Pelodiscus sinensis: one gene and its partner. The protein of the gene in region 1 interacts with the protein of each later gene in a biochemical or structural test. Links are inferred from orthologs where the notes say so. Each region holds a gene or a part of one and is shown in the gene's direction. Other genes may lie near its edges.

The links. The genes of interacting proteins can lie anywhere in the genome.
Region 2: the proteins of MIS18A (region 1) and OIP5 form a complex in vitro, tested with the Homo sapiens proteins (3 studies listed by BioGRID). The link is inferred for Pelodiscus sinensis from reciprocal best matches to the Homo sapiens genes MIS18A and OIP5.

The regions. Positions count from the first base shown.
Region 1 is NC_134711.1:182,550,153-182,557,881, reverse strand, and holds the start of MIS18A (protein Mis18-alpha), read left to right. Parts: upstream 1-4,680; 5' UTR 4,681-4,772; coding exon 4,773-4,980; intron 4,981-5,111; coding exon 5,112-5,178; intron 5,179-6,534; coding exon 6,535-6,657; intron 6,658-7,729. Other genes in the region: MRAP (melanocortin-2 receptor accessory protein), read right to left, coding at 534-639. UniProt on the Homo sapiens protein: Required for recruitment of CENPA to centromeres and normal chromosome segregation during mitosis.
Region 2 is NC_134714.1:64,300,328-64,307,718, reverse strand, and holds the start of OIP5 (protein Mis18-beta), read left to right. Parts: upstream 1-4,369; 5' UTR 4,370-4,387; coding exon 4,388-4,691; intron 4,692-5,572; coding exon 5,573-5,639; intron 5,640-7,391. Other genes in the region: NUSAP1 (nucleolar and spindle-associated protein 1), read right to left, coding at 3,793-3,885. UniProt on the Homo sapiens protein: Required for recruitment of CENPA to centromeres and normal chromosome segregation during mitosis.

The DNA.
Region 1 (7,729 bases):
AAGTATGTGTGTTCAGCTTCTTGTTCCTGGCTAATCAAAATTTAACTTCTCCAGAAACTTACACCAGTTTTAATGCAAGGATGGTATTCCATGAAAAAACAACCATTACTGACAAAAAAAACTACATAGTGTAACAAAAGGCTATTTTGCTATTCTATCATGCAAACAGGAATACACCAATCTACTGATAAACATTTTAAAATAGGCTTTTACATAGATTTGTTTTTAACAATTTACTATCTTTCCAGTTATCTGGGTTAATATACAAATCTCTCTCAAATGTATATATTGTAGAGTAAATGAAATAATATTGCAGTATTAGTATTAACCTACAATAGAACCCAATTAGTGCTGAGTTGAAAAACTCAAGATGCTCATCTGTACAAATTACATATCTATAGCCCAGTAAATAGCATTATGTTACAGAATGCCACACAACAGTGAAGATATTAAGGGAGATTATTCAACCTATTTTATTTATCAAACTCTTCACATACTAAATCAGCAACTGCTACTTACTATGCGATACTTACATTTATTAGCCTTCAACTTCCTTTCATCTATAGGTACTGGATCCAAATAGTCCCAGTAATATTCATAAGACAAATAATACTCAGATGAGTTTGTTCTGATAGCCATTTCAATTGTGCATTTGAATCAGCTCAGAGCTCCACTCTAATTATCTTTTATTTTCCACCACACTTCAGTGTTCTCATATAAAGATTGCATAATTGATGCCTGTGTAAATCATTCTGGAAGTCTTCATATCCTGAAACCCAAGGACTGATTAGATACCAGAACCTTTTAGCAGAAATGACAGTCAGGCTATGACAGACACCAAATGTAATCCTCTCTAGCTGGTGGGTAATTATATACTATCAATTCCCACCCTGCTTTGTATTAACGTGAGTGCCAAGTAAACAGTAACAGAATGGACAAAAGCCAAACTGATAGGCCCAGTGAGTAACTAGCAACAATGAAGCCCTTGGCATGAAAGAGATATTCTTGACCTACTGAAAAAAGCTCTGCTAAAAATTAATGACTCTATGACACATATTGTGAGATGACATTCCATATGTGTTAAGAAAATGTTTATTATAAGAATGAGAACTGAAATATGCTTTATGCAAGATGGTTCATGTAAGATATCACTGGAAGGGTTATGATTTACTGAATATGATTATCCCATATGTATGCAGGTATTATTTTTGTAGATGAAGTTAAGAATATTGACCTGTGTATCTAGACTTCATATTTGCTGCTCTGGGTCATTCCCACTATTGCCACATCAGGGGCTACAATGGACTTGATGGCTCATCAGCTACTACACTGGAAAGTAAAAAGGCTTGGCCTTCCTGGGAAGAGAGTCTATAATGCTTCACCTGACACTAACCAACTCCTTGTTCTTATGAACTGTTCCAAAAGGAGGTGGGAGAATCAAAGGTTTCCCTGACTTATGGAAATTTTATGTAAGGAAAAAAAGAAAACAGTGATTGTCTTCAGCTTGTTTTACTTCTGCCTTCCCACCCCAAAGAGAAACCTGGAAATCTGGAAATAAAAGTGTAAGAGAGTGGGGGGGAGGAGAGAATTGCTGGCCACAGGCCAGAAAGAACACCTCTGACTGAAAGACTTTACCTGAAAAACTATTTTGGGTGAGAAATTATTATCCGTAACCAAATCTGTAGTAAATCTAGTTTAGATTATGCATTTTGCATTATATTTTTAGTAATTGCTTTGTTCTGTTTGCCACTTCTTTAACTGCTTAAAATACATGTCTTCTTAGTTAATAAACATATTTTTGTTATAATGAATGTAACCCAATTTATGTAATTTCTAGGGGGGAATGGGAGAGGCTGATATACCTTCTTTCACATTAAGGAAGGAGGGAAATGTCATATAACTTTGGGTTTATATGCAAAGGGGAATGGACAACTGGGTACCATAGTAAGTCCCATAAGCTGAGTCTTCTCAGAGCTGACCTCAGTGTCCGTACCTTCTGCAACTGGCTGTGGCCCTGCTGTGAGCTTTGCTGGAGGAGACCTTAGTGCTTAGTGCTCAAAAAGACAGGGTTTAAGGCAGGGGCAGGCAAAATACAGCCTGCAGGCTGGATCTGGCCTGCGGGCCAGCAGGAGCCTCAACCCTGCCTGCCCTGCTCCGACAAACTGCCCTGTGTGTTTCTCAGAATGCTGTGAGCACAGGCAGAGGTTTCATGCACTGCCCCCTTCTCCAGCACAATCTCATAGCTGCCATGTTTCTGGTCAATGGGAGCTGTTTGCAGGACAGGCTACATGTGAAGTACTACTCCCCTGGGCTTGCAGTGTTCAGAGCAATACACATGGCTCTAAGCGGCGTGCAGGAGCTTGGAAGGCTGGCCGGGAGCCCACCCACGTACACACCTCCTGGCTAGAGCCTGTGTCAGCACTCCAGCCCTGCCTCCCCCCAATCCTATGCCCCCTTCCTTCACTCTACGCCATGTAATCCAAACACTTGCACTCCCACTCCTGCACCCATACTCCATCCCAGCCCCTCCACCCAAATCCTCTGCTCCTAGTCACAACCCAAATCCCTGCACACCTCCTGCATCCCTGCCCCAGGTGATAACGCCCTCCCAGACCCTGTACTACCTCCTGCACCCCTCCTCCAGGTCACAACTCCCTCCCAGAGCTAGCAACCCCAATTCCCTATCCCTTTCACAATCCAAATCCCTGCTCGCTCTCCTGCACTCCTGCTCCAGGTCACATTTCCCTCCCAGAACCTGCACCCCCCCTCCAAAACCTCTCCTTCAGGTCAGAATCCTCTCCTGCACCCATATCTCCTTCTGGACACTGCGCCCCAGTACCCCGCCCCAGGTCACAATCCCCTGGACCTAAACTCCCTCTCAGATCCCATTCCCCTCCTGCACTTCATTCCCTTGCCCCAAACTCCCATCTACACATAACCTCCATGCCCAATCCCACACCTCCTCCATTAATATCATGGAAGAGTACATCTCTTGACTATTTACCAAATTCTTGGGAGTGCCTGCCCCCCATCAAAAATTATTGCCCACTCTTGGTCTAAGGCCTGGTATAAACGTAGATCAACTTCGCTACATCACTCAGGACTATGAAAAATTCATATTCTGATCACTGCATTTTGGTCAACATAAGCCTTGATGTATATCAGTGGAAAAACTCTTCCATTGAGGTTGGTAACACATCTAAGGAGGGAAATTGATGTAGGAAAGATCTGCACTACAGTACTACAGCTACATATCATAGCTAATAGAATAAACATTGCCTATGTGTTTTGCCCAGTGATGCTACGTCTAGACCGCAGGCTTCTTGCGCAAAAGCTCCTCCACACTGCAAAAAGCGCATTGGAAAAGCGCACTGGAGAGTTGGGAAGTTGGTTTAGAATGAGTAGAAATATGAGACAAGGAGATCTGATATCGCTGAGTATCTTCATCACACACCTAGAGAGTGTGATGGACAAGATCAAGAAAGAGGTAGAAGGGATATTGGTGCACGGGATGAGAATTAACAATTTGAGGTTCACGGATGTTATAGTTATCGAGGAAGATGAAGAGAAACTAGTGAGAACAGTGCAAGTGCTAAATGAGGAAGGGAAGCGGTATGGACTGATTATGAATATTGATAAAACAAAGACAATGGTATTTGGAGATAAAGAAATAGGAAGGAAGATCAGTGTAGATGGGATCAAACTAGAGAATGTAGAGAAGTTCAAATATTTGGGGAGCAATATTACATATGATCTAGACTGTAAGAAGGAAATAGTGACTAGAGTAGCGAAAGCAAGAGCGAGTTTGAAGTTGATGGATAAGATCTGGAAAAGTAAAGCGATTAGCTTAGGAATGGAATTGAGCATCTTGAAAATGTGTGTATTTAGCAGCATGTTTAGGGATGTGAGACATGGGTGATAATGAAAGATTCAAAGAGAAGGATATTGACGTTCAAGAGGAGTTATAGAAAGATACTGAGAATATGATGGATGCAGAAGGTCACCAACGAGGAATTATATAGGAAGATACAGCCAAAAAAAAAACCTACTGCAGAAGGTTATACAATGGAAGTTACAGCTATTTGGGCATATCTGCAGAATGAACAATGAGTGAAAAGTTAAGACCCTGGTATTCGGCATAACGGACAGTCCAGTTTGGAGAGGCAGACTGCACAGAGAATGGGTGGGGAGCTAGTCTACAGAAACTAAGTGACTCAGCAGTGGAGGCATCAGACACCAACGGGCGTTGAGCCCATGGTGGTTGTTGATGATGATGATGGTGAATGTCTTCCTGCCCAATCTGGCGGGGTGGCCATGCGCGGCATGGTCAGCTGGGCGATAGATCTCTTTGGCTCTTGAAGTGGCAGGATTGCCCTAGCGCAGGTGGGGCACAGTCTCCGTAAACTGGTTCCAGAAATCAGCCTAGACTGGAAAACAGGCTGGCAGGGCAACAGCAGCCTCCCCTCCCCTCCCCTCGCCTCCCACCCGCCAGTGCCGGGCCGGGCCGGGCCACTGCCGCAAGGGGCGCGCGGGGCGCAGTCACCTGGGCAAACGCGCCACAGGCCCTATATGACACGCGGCACCCAGGAGAACTTAGCCCCGCCCCCACCACTGCCGGAAAGGGGCGGGGCTCTTCTCCGTCCCCGCCCTGCTCAGACAAGGGAAGGGGGCGGGGCTTCGCCGGCAGGGGTTCCTCTTTGTCCCTGCCCCTCTGCGCTCCGCTCGTGCGCGCCGCTTCCGCTTCCGGGCGGCGGGCGGTTTGAAGGTGGGGGATGGCGGGCGCGCAATACGTGCCGCCGGGCGCGGGGCTGGAGGCGTCGCTGTCGCTGCTGGAGGCGGAGAGCAGCCGGGGCACGGCGGCCCCCGACGAGCCGGAGGAGCTGCCCATGGTGTTCCTGTGCGCCGGCTGCAAGCGGCCCGTGGGGGACACGCTGGGCTGGGTGGCCAACGAGGAGGAGACCGGCTGCGTCCTGCTGCGCAGTGAGTCCCCGCGCGCGCGAGGCTGGCGGGGGAAGCGAATCTCTGCCGGCCCCCGCCGGCTCCGAGCCCGTTCCTTCCGCTCCGCCCGCCCGCGGCCGTTAGTGACGGTTGGTCCCGCCTGTCTCTTGCAGGCGCCTCCCCCAACGTGTCGGTAGAGAAGGAGCAGAAGCTCTCCAGCCGGCCCGGCGAGTGCGGATGGTGAGTGGGCAGGGCCGAGGGGCCTGGCAGCCGGGACATCCAGGGTCGCGGGCACCGCTGAATGACGACCGGGGCGTGCCCGAAGTATCCCAGCCCCCTACCGCTGGCCTCCCCCACTGCTGGAAGGGGAGAGCAGCCGGGGCACGGCGGCCGCGAGACGGGAGAAGCAGGAGGCGTTGCCCATGGCGTAGCTATATCAACACTAGGGATGTTAAAAAGCGGGTAACTGGGTGAAAACCTTCAAAGCAGCTCCACGCACCTGCAGCCTGCATTGGCTCCCGGCTCCTGACATGTACTGGCTCCCTGCTCCTAAGGAGCTGGCTGCCACCCTGCAGTGTAAGCCCTGATACAGAGGCCATGGTGCAGGATGGCAGCTGACTCCCCAAGAGTGGGGCAGGAACCTGCATGTAACCGTTCCCGTACCGATAACACCAGAGTGATCAGTTAACTGTTTAAATGGTTATTCTGTTACATCCTTAGTCAGCACTTGATTCGTTAAGCAAAACAAAGCCAATTCCTCAGTACGCACATATCCCTTGGGTTGGTGCAGCCTGAATAGGCACAGTGGATACCAGCCACAGACTGAACCTTCTTGAGGTCTGGCTTTGAAACAGCGGGTAATGGTGCACCATGGGTGCTGCTATTGGTCATGCCACTGAAACGATGCTCCCAATCAGAAGGGTTTTATTATGTGACTTCAAATGTCTCCTGCACAAATCTTAAATGGTGAATGAAAATGGAAGAAAACTTATTCAGTTCATAATCATAAAACCCCAAATAGGATAAGGATCTTTTAGTTACTGCTTGGGAGGGAGTTACCAAAAATTTCAATCCAAATACTAGTTTGGAAGTCAATTTTATCTAGTATAGGCTAAAGTATTCTGCTGTATAGCTGAGTAATTTACCTTGCTAAGATCATGCATAGGGTTCAAGGGTTATATATTTGGAATGAGTAAAACAAATGAGGAATCCTGTGGCACCTTAAAGGCTAACTGATTTATTGGGGCAAACCACTTTGTCAAATGCATGGTAAAATGTGTGTGTGCTGATGCATTGGCCTTGTTGGCTTAAAGCCTGAAGTTCAGGTGTTGATATAGCTGCCATATTTGAAACATTTTTCATTATGCTGCAGTTGCAGACTAACATGACTATACTGATTCATAGAATGAAATGAAACAGATATACATGAATATGTGTAATTTTTTGCATTACATAACCACATTTCACTCTTTTTTCCTAATGTGATTTACTGACACAGTGGTAGTGGATACTCTCTTCGAAGTAAGATTAGAAGTGAATGAATTGGAATCAATTTAAATCATCTTTCTAAACAAGTGGTTATATATTTGCTTATAGCATGATTGAAACTTTGTTCTGCTCTGGCTGTTCAATGACCCTTGGGAACATCTACAGATGCACCCCAAAACATCTTGACTATAAGCGAGATTTATTTTGCTTCAGTGTTGACTCAATTGACAGGTAAGGATGAGACCAAATGATTCAAGTTGTCAAATATGCTAATTGATTTTTGCCTTTTAGATTAAATGCCAGGTAGTTTGGGTTCATTACTTAACACTTTTAGCAATCAGATATTTATTATTAAGCTTGTATTAAGGTGAGTATGTGGGAGGGTATTTGGGAAAGGTTATGGATTACTCCTCTAATCTCCTTTTGTTCAAGAACAGTATTCTGTATTGTGGAGCAGGCAAAATATGGGCTGTCGCCAATGTCTTGATCCTTGAATAGGCACCGTGCCTGCTATACCCCCATGTGCCTTTCAAAGTGGCCAGCTGTTGGTGCTTGTACATCACAGCACCAAGGGCCCCATGTCGGGGCATGGAGGCTTCATTCACTGCCCGCACCTCAGCAGAGTCTTGTAGCTCCAATTGGCTAGAAATGTGTGAAGTTTCCCCTTCCCCAAGAGGTGTGTAATGCAGAGATGCCTACTTAAAGCTGCTGGCTACTTGGATCACATGCAAGTCTTGCTAGGCTGTTAGCTGGGAGTCACCTAGGGTAAGTGCCTCCTCGTTAGAACCTGCACCTGGCACCCTGTCCCCTTCCTCCCCCCAACTTTCTGCCCTGGTCACAATCCTAACTTTCTGAACCCCCTCCTACACTCCAGTCCCTCACTCCACCCTCCCTCCTTCACTCAACCTCCATCCCAGATCCCACACTCCCTCGATTAACATAGAAAAGTGCAGCTCTTGACCACTTCCCAAGTTTTTGGAATGGCCCCTCATCTATTGCCCACCCCGTGTTAATGTCTCCCTTACCACAGGACTAAGGTTGTGAAAATATTCCATGTATAATGTTGCCCAATACCTGATATTTACATATTCTTGGGTGTTCTTTTATATAATAAAACTCACAAGTGTATAAAATTACACTAGGTGCCCAACGCAACCAGAAGGTGCCTCTACTTCCAGTCTCATTTGAAAGACTCTGCACACAGATGCCATTGTGATTGCTCACTAAGTGCAAATGGATTCAGATCCATCTTAAGTAAAATTTGTTCTATCTAAACTCAAGGAAAAAGCAGAATGACAATGAG
Region 2 (7,391 bases), on another chromosome or scaffold:
ACACAGTGGATACAGTATACTTCGAATTTCAGAAAGCCTTTGACAAGATTCATCACCAAGGCTCTTGAGCAAACTAAGCAGTCATGGAATAAGAGGAAAGCGCCTCATGAACTGATTAAAAGAGGGGAAAAAAGGGGGAGTAATAAATGGTCAGTTTTCAGGGAAAAATAGTGATATTCCCCAGCCAGTGTTCCCTGTAAGCTGAGTGCTGGGATGGTCACCTCAGAGATTCAGATGCTGTCCTGCTGATTAGTAGAGCATCTACAGCTGCCCACAGCCAGCAGCATATGTTTCTACTGTGGATGTTCACATCCACACGTCTCAGTGCACATACAATTTATTCTACTCATGGATTGAAAAAAAATTTAGAAGGAACACTGCCCCCAAGGATCCATACAGACATTAGTGTTCAACATATTCATGAATAATCAGGAAAAAGTAGTAAAAAAGAAATTAGCAAAGTTTGCAGATACAAAATTACTCAAGTGAGCTAAGTCCAAAGCAGTGGCAAAGAGTTACAAAGGGATCTTTCAAAACAGGATGATGAGGCAATAAATTACATGTGATAATCAATGTTGATAAATGCAAAGCAATGCATATTGGAAAACCTAATCCCAATTACATATACAAAATGATAGGGTCTCAACTAGCTGTTACCACTTAAGGAAAAGATCTTGGCACTGTTGTGGATAGGTCCTGAAAACACCTACTCGATGTCTTAGCTTTTTCACTGCAGCTGCAATGTTAAGAATCATTAAAAAAGGGTTAGGCAATAAATAGTAAATATCATGCCACTGTATAAATCCATGGTATGACACTGACTATTTCATGCAGTTCTGTTACCCCTCACTTACAAAATATATTGGAAATGGAAAAGGTAGACTAGAGTACTACAAAAATGATTAACGTTGTGGAACAGCTTCCATATGAGGTTAAAAAAAGACTAGGATGTTTCAGCTTGAGAAAAAAAAGATAACTAGGTGAGGCTCTGAGAAAGGTCTATGAATGGTGCGATGAAAGTTTATATAACCCATTCACATAAACACATGAACCAACAGTCACCCAATTAAATTAACAGGCACCACTTTTACACCAACACACATTGTACCTCCAAACTCTGGCACTCCCTGGTCCAGCAACATCTCTGGTCCAGCAGGATCATGGATACTCCTGGACCAGAGAGCCCAGGAGCCTAAGGGCAGAAGGGCCAGCCTCCTGGGAACAGCACAGGACTGGAACCCCAATGCTGCATCCAGCAGCCCCTGGGAATGTGAGTCTGAGGCCAGAGCACCATGGCAGTGCAGGGTCAGAGTCCACGCAACAAACTCCAGGAGCACAGGGCTGGGCCTGGAGCCCCGCAGTTTACCCTGGCGGTGCAGAGTCCAACAGCTTCCCCCAGCTGCACAGGACTGGGGCTGAAGGTGCATGATCAGAGCCCCGCAACTTCCCTCATGTATGCAGGGCCAGAGTCGGAGCTCCAGCCCCGCAGCTGCCCTTGGCTGCGCAGTACCAGAGCTGCACAGCAGGAGCCTATGCCACCTAAGCAGCCAGCAGTAGCTGGGCAAGCAGCCCACCCATATTGGGGGTGGGGTGGGTGGACGAGGCAGGGTTGCCTGCCGGGGCATCCTGCCAGTAGCAGGTGACGGGCTTGGGGGCTGGAGATCTCCCCTAGTCTGGCAAATTCTCTTGTTTGGGACCAGTCAGGCTCCCACAATGCTGGACCAGGGAGGTCCAACCTGTATACGCAACTACTACACACAACGCACAGTCAACCTATGTAACTTTTCACCAGAAGAGGTCATAAAGACCAAAAGTATAACTGAGTTAAAAAATAAGGTGACAATGGATGAAAGGTCCATCAATTGTTATTAGCCAATATAGTCAGGGACACTTCATGCATTGGGCATTCTTAAGCCTCTACCTGCCAAAAGCTTGGCTAGGGCAGGGGATGGATCACTTGAGAATCACCCTATTCTGTTCATTGCCTCTGAAGCATCTGGTATTAGCCACCATAAGAAGACAAAAAAAAACAGAGTCCTGTGGCACCTTGCAGACTAATAGATTTATTTGGGCATAAGCTTTCATGGGCAAAACCCCACTTTGTCAGTTGCATTGATGAAGTAGTTTTTTGCCCAGTGTAGTCCCCTTACTAAAGGTAACTGACTTCTTCCAGGAGGATCGTGTGTGCTGCATTCTAGCCCTAGAGACTAACTCGCATGAGTCCTTGAGGAAACCAGGAACAGCTACATTCTAGGACTGAAAGTCTGCGGTGCTTAGATCTAGCAGGCTGCTGATTGCCCTAGCGGGAAGAGACTCTGGCTGCACCTGTGGCTGAGGAGGACTACACAAAAACCAGCACACAGAAGGAGGCTGCAAGTAAATAGGTTCTTTGAGAAAGTGCTGCCTAGGACAGACCTCAGAGATATAGGCTAACTCTGGGTCCAAAGAGAGGCAGAGTATCCAGCCCAGGGAACCAGAACTGCTGGCATTTGGTGGCACTTACTCCAGTAGCAGAGCGAGTTTGCAGCTGGCTACACAGCTTGGACTAGCACACACCCTACAGCAGTGTTTCTTAAACTGTATTCTGCGGCACACGGATGGGCCACAAGGCAATCGGAGGTGTGTCTCATAGAACAACAGAGTTCAAAATGGCCACCCTTAAAGGGGCAAACAACCTTTGGGGGGGGGGGGGGGAGGCTCAAAAAAATAATTGGTGTTCCTCAAAAAAAAATTATTGTTTGGTGTTCCCCAGTCTTAAAAAGTTTAAGAAACAATGCCCTACAGAGAACTTCCACTCCAGCTGCAGATCTTCAAGCACACACACACAAGCATCTGGGACTCTGAGTTCAGAGGAGTGCACACTCGAGGGTGGGATAAATCATGGCAGTGCAAATGCCAGATAGATAAATTCCTATCATTTCTGTGTACTTTGTTAATATTATTCACTGTTAATTTGTTAAACCCTGTTACTTTAAGTTGTTAAGTAAAGGTGCGTTCATTCAAATGTAATCAATTAGATGTATATTATTTATAATTTGTAATTGTTGTATTGGAATTAGACCCAGATTAATGCTGAAATAATTTTATTCCTGGAGGCTCCCAAGGCATACCATGAAGTGTGTACAGGGCCAGACAGTGTGTACACTGCCATTACATATTCTTTATGAGCCAGGGACTGCAGCAAGGGGGTGGAGAGGAAATCCCCAACTAACCATCACCACCACCAGGGTGCTCAGGAACTCTTTTTATGTTAAAACCATCAGGCACACCTGTGAGTGTGACCTGCTCCCAAGTAACCCGAGAAGGAAAAGAGGGGTTACACCAGGAAAGCTCACACCCAAATAAATCTGTTAGTGTTTAAGATGCCACAGGACACCCCCTTGTTTGAGGGCACAGACTAACACAGTTGCCCCTGAGACTGGTCAGTAAACAGGCTACTGAGCTAGCCAGACTCTTTGCCTTAAGAAGTTCACATGGACGCTTTGGGGCTGCGATCCCAACGCTGCTCCCTGTAAGTCTGACTCTGGAAGCCATAACGTGGTGACCACGACACTTGCGCCCTGTCCCTGCCCGGGCCGCCCGATAACTGGAGCACGGCGGGGACAGGGGCCCGGGAGTCCCCACGCCCAACCACAGAAGCGTCAGCCCCGCAGCTCTTCCACCCCCCGCTATCGCCTTTACTCGGTATCATCCCCACCTGCGCCAGAGAGGAGACCCGGCCCCGCAGCCGCCTGTCCCGTCCCCTCTCTGCTGGGTCCCCCCAGCTCCCCGGCCGAGGCGCCACCACCTCACCTTCAGGTTGGCCCGGAGGCCGGCGGCTTTGGCCAGCTGCTGCAGCTCGCTGTACTTGAGCGACTCCAGTTGCTGCAGCGAGGGCAGCTCCATGGCAGCAAAACAACGGGAACCAGCAACCGATCTGCGAGCGCCGCCGCCCGGGATAACGGCCGTGCCGAGGCTTCAAATCCCGCGCGCAACTGACGCCAAAAAGCAAGCTGCTATGTCCCACCCTCAGCATTCGAACTCGCCCTTCGCGCCCTGTCATTGGCTGGACAACCTATCAGTGGGCGTGGCTGCGACCCACAGACAGCCAATGGCATCCTGGAGAACGGGATTTGTATTAGTTTTCCTAACCTGATAAGCACTTGTCTATCAAAATACAGCCGCGCCCCAGCCCAACTCGCTCTCTGATTGGGAAGTAGAATGATTGGTCTTCTCCCCACCATCCAATGGTCGGAGTTAACGAGTCCCGTCTTGCGAGCGCCTGGTGAAGTGATTGATGTGTGTGCCACCCAATCGGATCGCAGAGCTGTAGGTCGCCCTCCAATTGGGATGGCAAGGGGGTGGGCGCTGGTTTCAAACCAGCAGCGCGGATAGCGGGTGAGCGAAGATGGCGGTGCGGAGATGCATCCAGGAGTTGTTTCAGGAGCCTCAGATTGGCGGTGCCATCACCTTCGAGCGGCCGGACGCACTGCGGAGCCGCGGCCGCCCGCCCCAGGCGGACACGGGCAAGCTGCGCGGCGCGGAGCCCCAGCAGGAGCCGTGGAACCCCGGGGCCAGGGCGCTGCTGCGCCGCGGGCTCCGGCTGGAGGATTGTGCCCTGCTCCACTGCCGGAGCTGCCGCGCGGTGCTGGCCGACTCGCTGCACCTCTGCGCCCAGGAGGACCGCTGCCTGCGAGTCCTCGTCTGCTTCAGTGAGTCCCCGCGCGGGCTCCGAAGCGTCTGTGCCTGGGCAGCGGGGCTGCGACTGGAGCCTGGGGCAGGATTCTCTCGCGCTCCCTTGCTCGATGGCCTGGGCTGGGCAGGGCTAGCTTGCACGGGCGCTGGTGCGAGCCTGCGGAGAGGAGTATGGCTGCTGCGGGCCTGGGGATCTAACTGCGGGCCTAGCATCCGTTCCATGGAGAGCGGCGGGTGGGTGAGCTCTGCCCGAGTGAGCTGGTCTCTTGTTTTCGCTGGCCCCTAATGCATGCTCGATGAGCACGAGATGTTTGGAGACTTCATCTAAAGTGACATAAGCGGGCTCTATCTGTTAACACCCGATCCGCTCTACTCGTTTTGCAAGTGAAACTGCAATCCTGCAAGTTCAGTTGGGACGTGAGCGGCTGTATAGCTGCTTCCTTCCCCTCACCTTGCTCCTGGCCAGCGACTGTTCGTTTCATTCCCACTCCGATCTGCCACTGCTTGCCAGTTGTCCCGTTCCTCTTCCTCGTGCACTAATGCAGGATACTCCCACTACCTGAATCTTTAAATAAATACACCTGTTTCGTGCTAGTAGCTGGCTCTGGCAACAAAAATCATTATTGTTCTTATACAAATTAGATATTAGAAAAGATTTGAATCTGGGATTCAGTCAGTCTGCATAAAAAGCACTGGAGGATTTTAATTTTCTATTAGTTCAAACATTTAAATTGATACATTAAAAAATATTTAGTAAGTTTAAAGTAAATATAGCACATAAATGAATCATTCCAAGCCTAAAGATAGGAAGTTTAAAACCTTAGTGTTGGGCACTAGCAGAAATACTGGTGAATGATCAGTGTTGTATAACTACCTATCTATGGGTTTATCTTCCCAGAAGTCACAAATGATGTTGTTTTGGAAGATTCTTTAATGGTCGGTATTGAAGGAGCCCTTCTGGGATGGTAGGTACCTCAGATGTTGCTTCTTGCTTTTAATGTTAGTTTTCAGTTTTTAGATGATCCTACAGCAGAGCAGAAAGGCAATAATGTGTTGCTTCTGAATTTTAGAACTATCTCTGGGCCAGAAGAAAATAAGTTTAGAAAATCCTTCCAACTCCCTCTTAAGAAGAGTCTTACAGAATTGAGAAGTAATTGAGATTGGCTTAGGACCTAACCACTGCTTTTTCAACTAAGAAAGCTTTGTAAATTGATAGCCTCTATTCTCAAGGGAATTCTGCATACTATTCTAAAATTCTGCATATTTTATTACTTAAAGTAGTATAATCACCCTGATTTCAAAAATTTTGGTGATTATATTTAAACTACAGTACAATGGATGAAGACTGGGCTTGGGGAGCATTGGAGGAAACCCCAAATCCCCTCTAATATAGCTAGTTACTAGTCAACAAGAATATGTAGTCATACGCTCATTGTTACATCATAGGCAAATTAAGAGCAAGTGAGGAATGGGGATTCAAACTCCCAATTTATACTGGCTATTGACCATCTCCAGAATGGTCAGTAGCAAACAGTTTATGGACCACATTTTGATAGGAAATCTTTTCAGTCCAAAAATTAAACCAGTTCTAATTACTAAAGTACCATAAGCATTTATAAGACCATACTGTCCTGTACAGTAAGGCCCCTTTACATCACTGGCAATATAAAAGAGCCATAACGTTTTTACACCTGTTTTATACTCCTGGGGGAATTCACTAAGAACAATGGGAAGAACTCACTAAGCAGGAAGGCTGCTACATTCTGCACCTTCTGAAGTTATGGAACCTGCCACACAACTACCTCCTCAGAAGCACCCCAAAGCCAGGCCTCTCCCCACCAGGCATACCACAAGCATAGTGTCTCAAATGCATAACTGTCCAGTCCTGCCTGCCCCAGCAGTGATTTGTATGCATCTATTGGCTGCTCTGAGTTCCCAAACCAATGTGCCTGCACTACTGGCAAGGGACTCATGACTGCTCTTGTGGCTTCCTTTTATTTTCCCCTCAGAAATCACTTTTCTGTAGGGAAGCAAAAGTTTGCCAGGGTCATGAATTCTGTGCTTTGCAGTGACACAACATTTCTCCGGGAATAATTTACCTCTTCACCCTCCCCTCCCCACACAAAACTAGGTTTTTGCCCTATTTACCATTGAGGTGGGGGGAGGAGGAGAAACTTTTGTGTTTAAAAAAAAAAGTGTGTCTAACTGTTAAGCTAGAAAATGTTTTTATATTCTGTCCTAGTGAAAGTAAACAAGTTTTGTTGTTAATTAATTAAACAATCAGTAGAAGCTGGTTCACCTAGCTATGATAATGCTCTTTTTTGGTCTATTTTGGGGTTAATCTACTGTATGTGTATGAGGAAATAAGTTAATCAAAATCCTATAGATAGGAAAGTGGCTATAGTAGAGTATTTGTACCAAGCATGGTTTACAATAGTATTTATTAGAATTGAATTTGAAGCAGGTATTACCACTTTCAAAGTTAAGTAGCTACAACCCCTTGAGCTGTCTACAAACTTGAAGCAGCAGTCCTGTATTTGTATTCTGCTTGGTTGATATTTGCAAGATTTGTCACAATTATAAAGGTTAGAAACCTTTTTTAAAGGAAAGTTTTGTATTCTGTAGAAGGTGATGGAACTTGCCTGGGACTGGCCGTAGGCATCTTGCACAGCCTGTAACTCTTACGCTAATACATAACTTAACAGGTATCTCAAGCC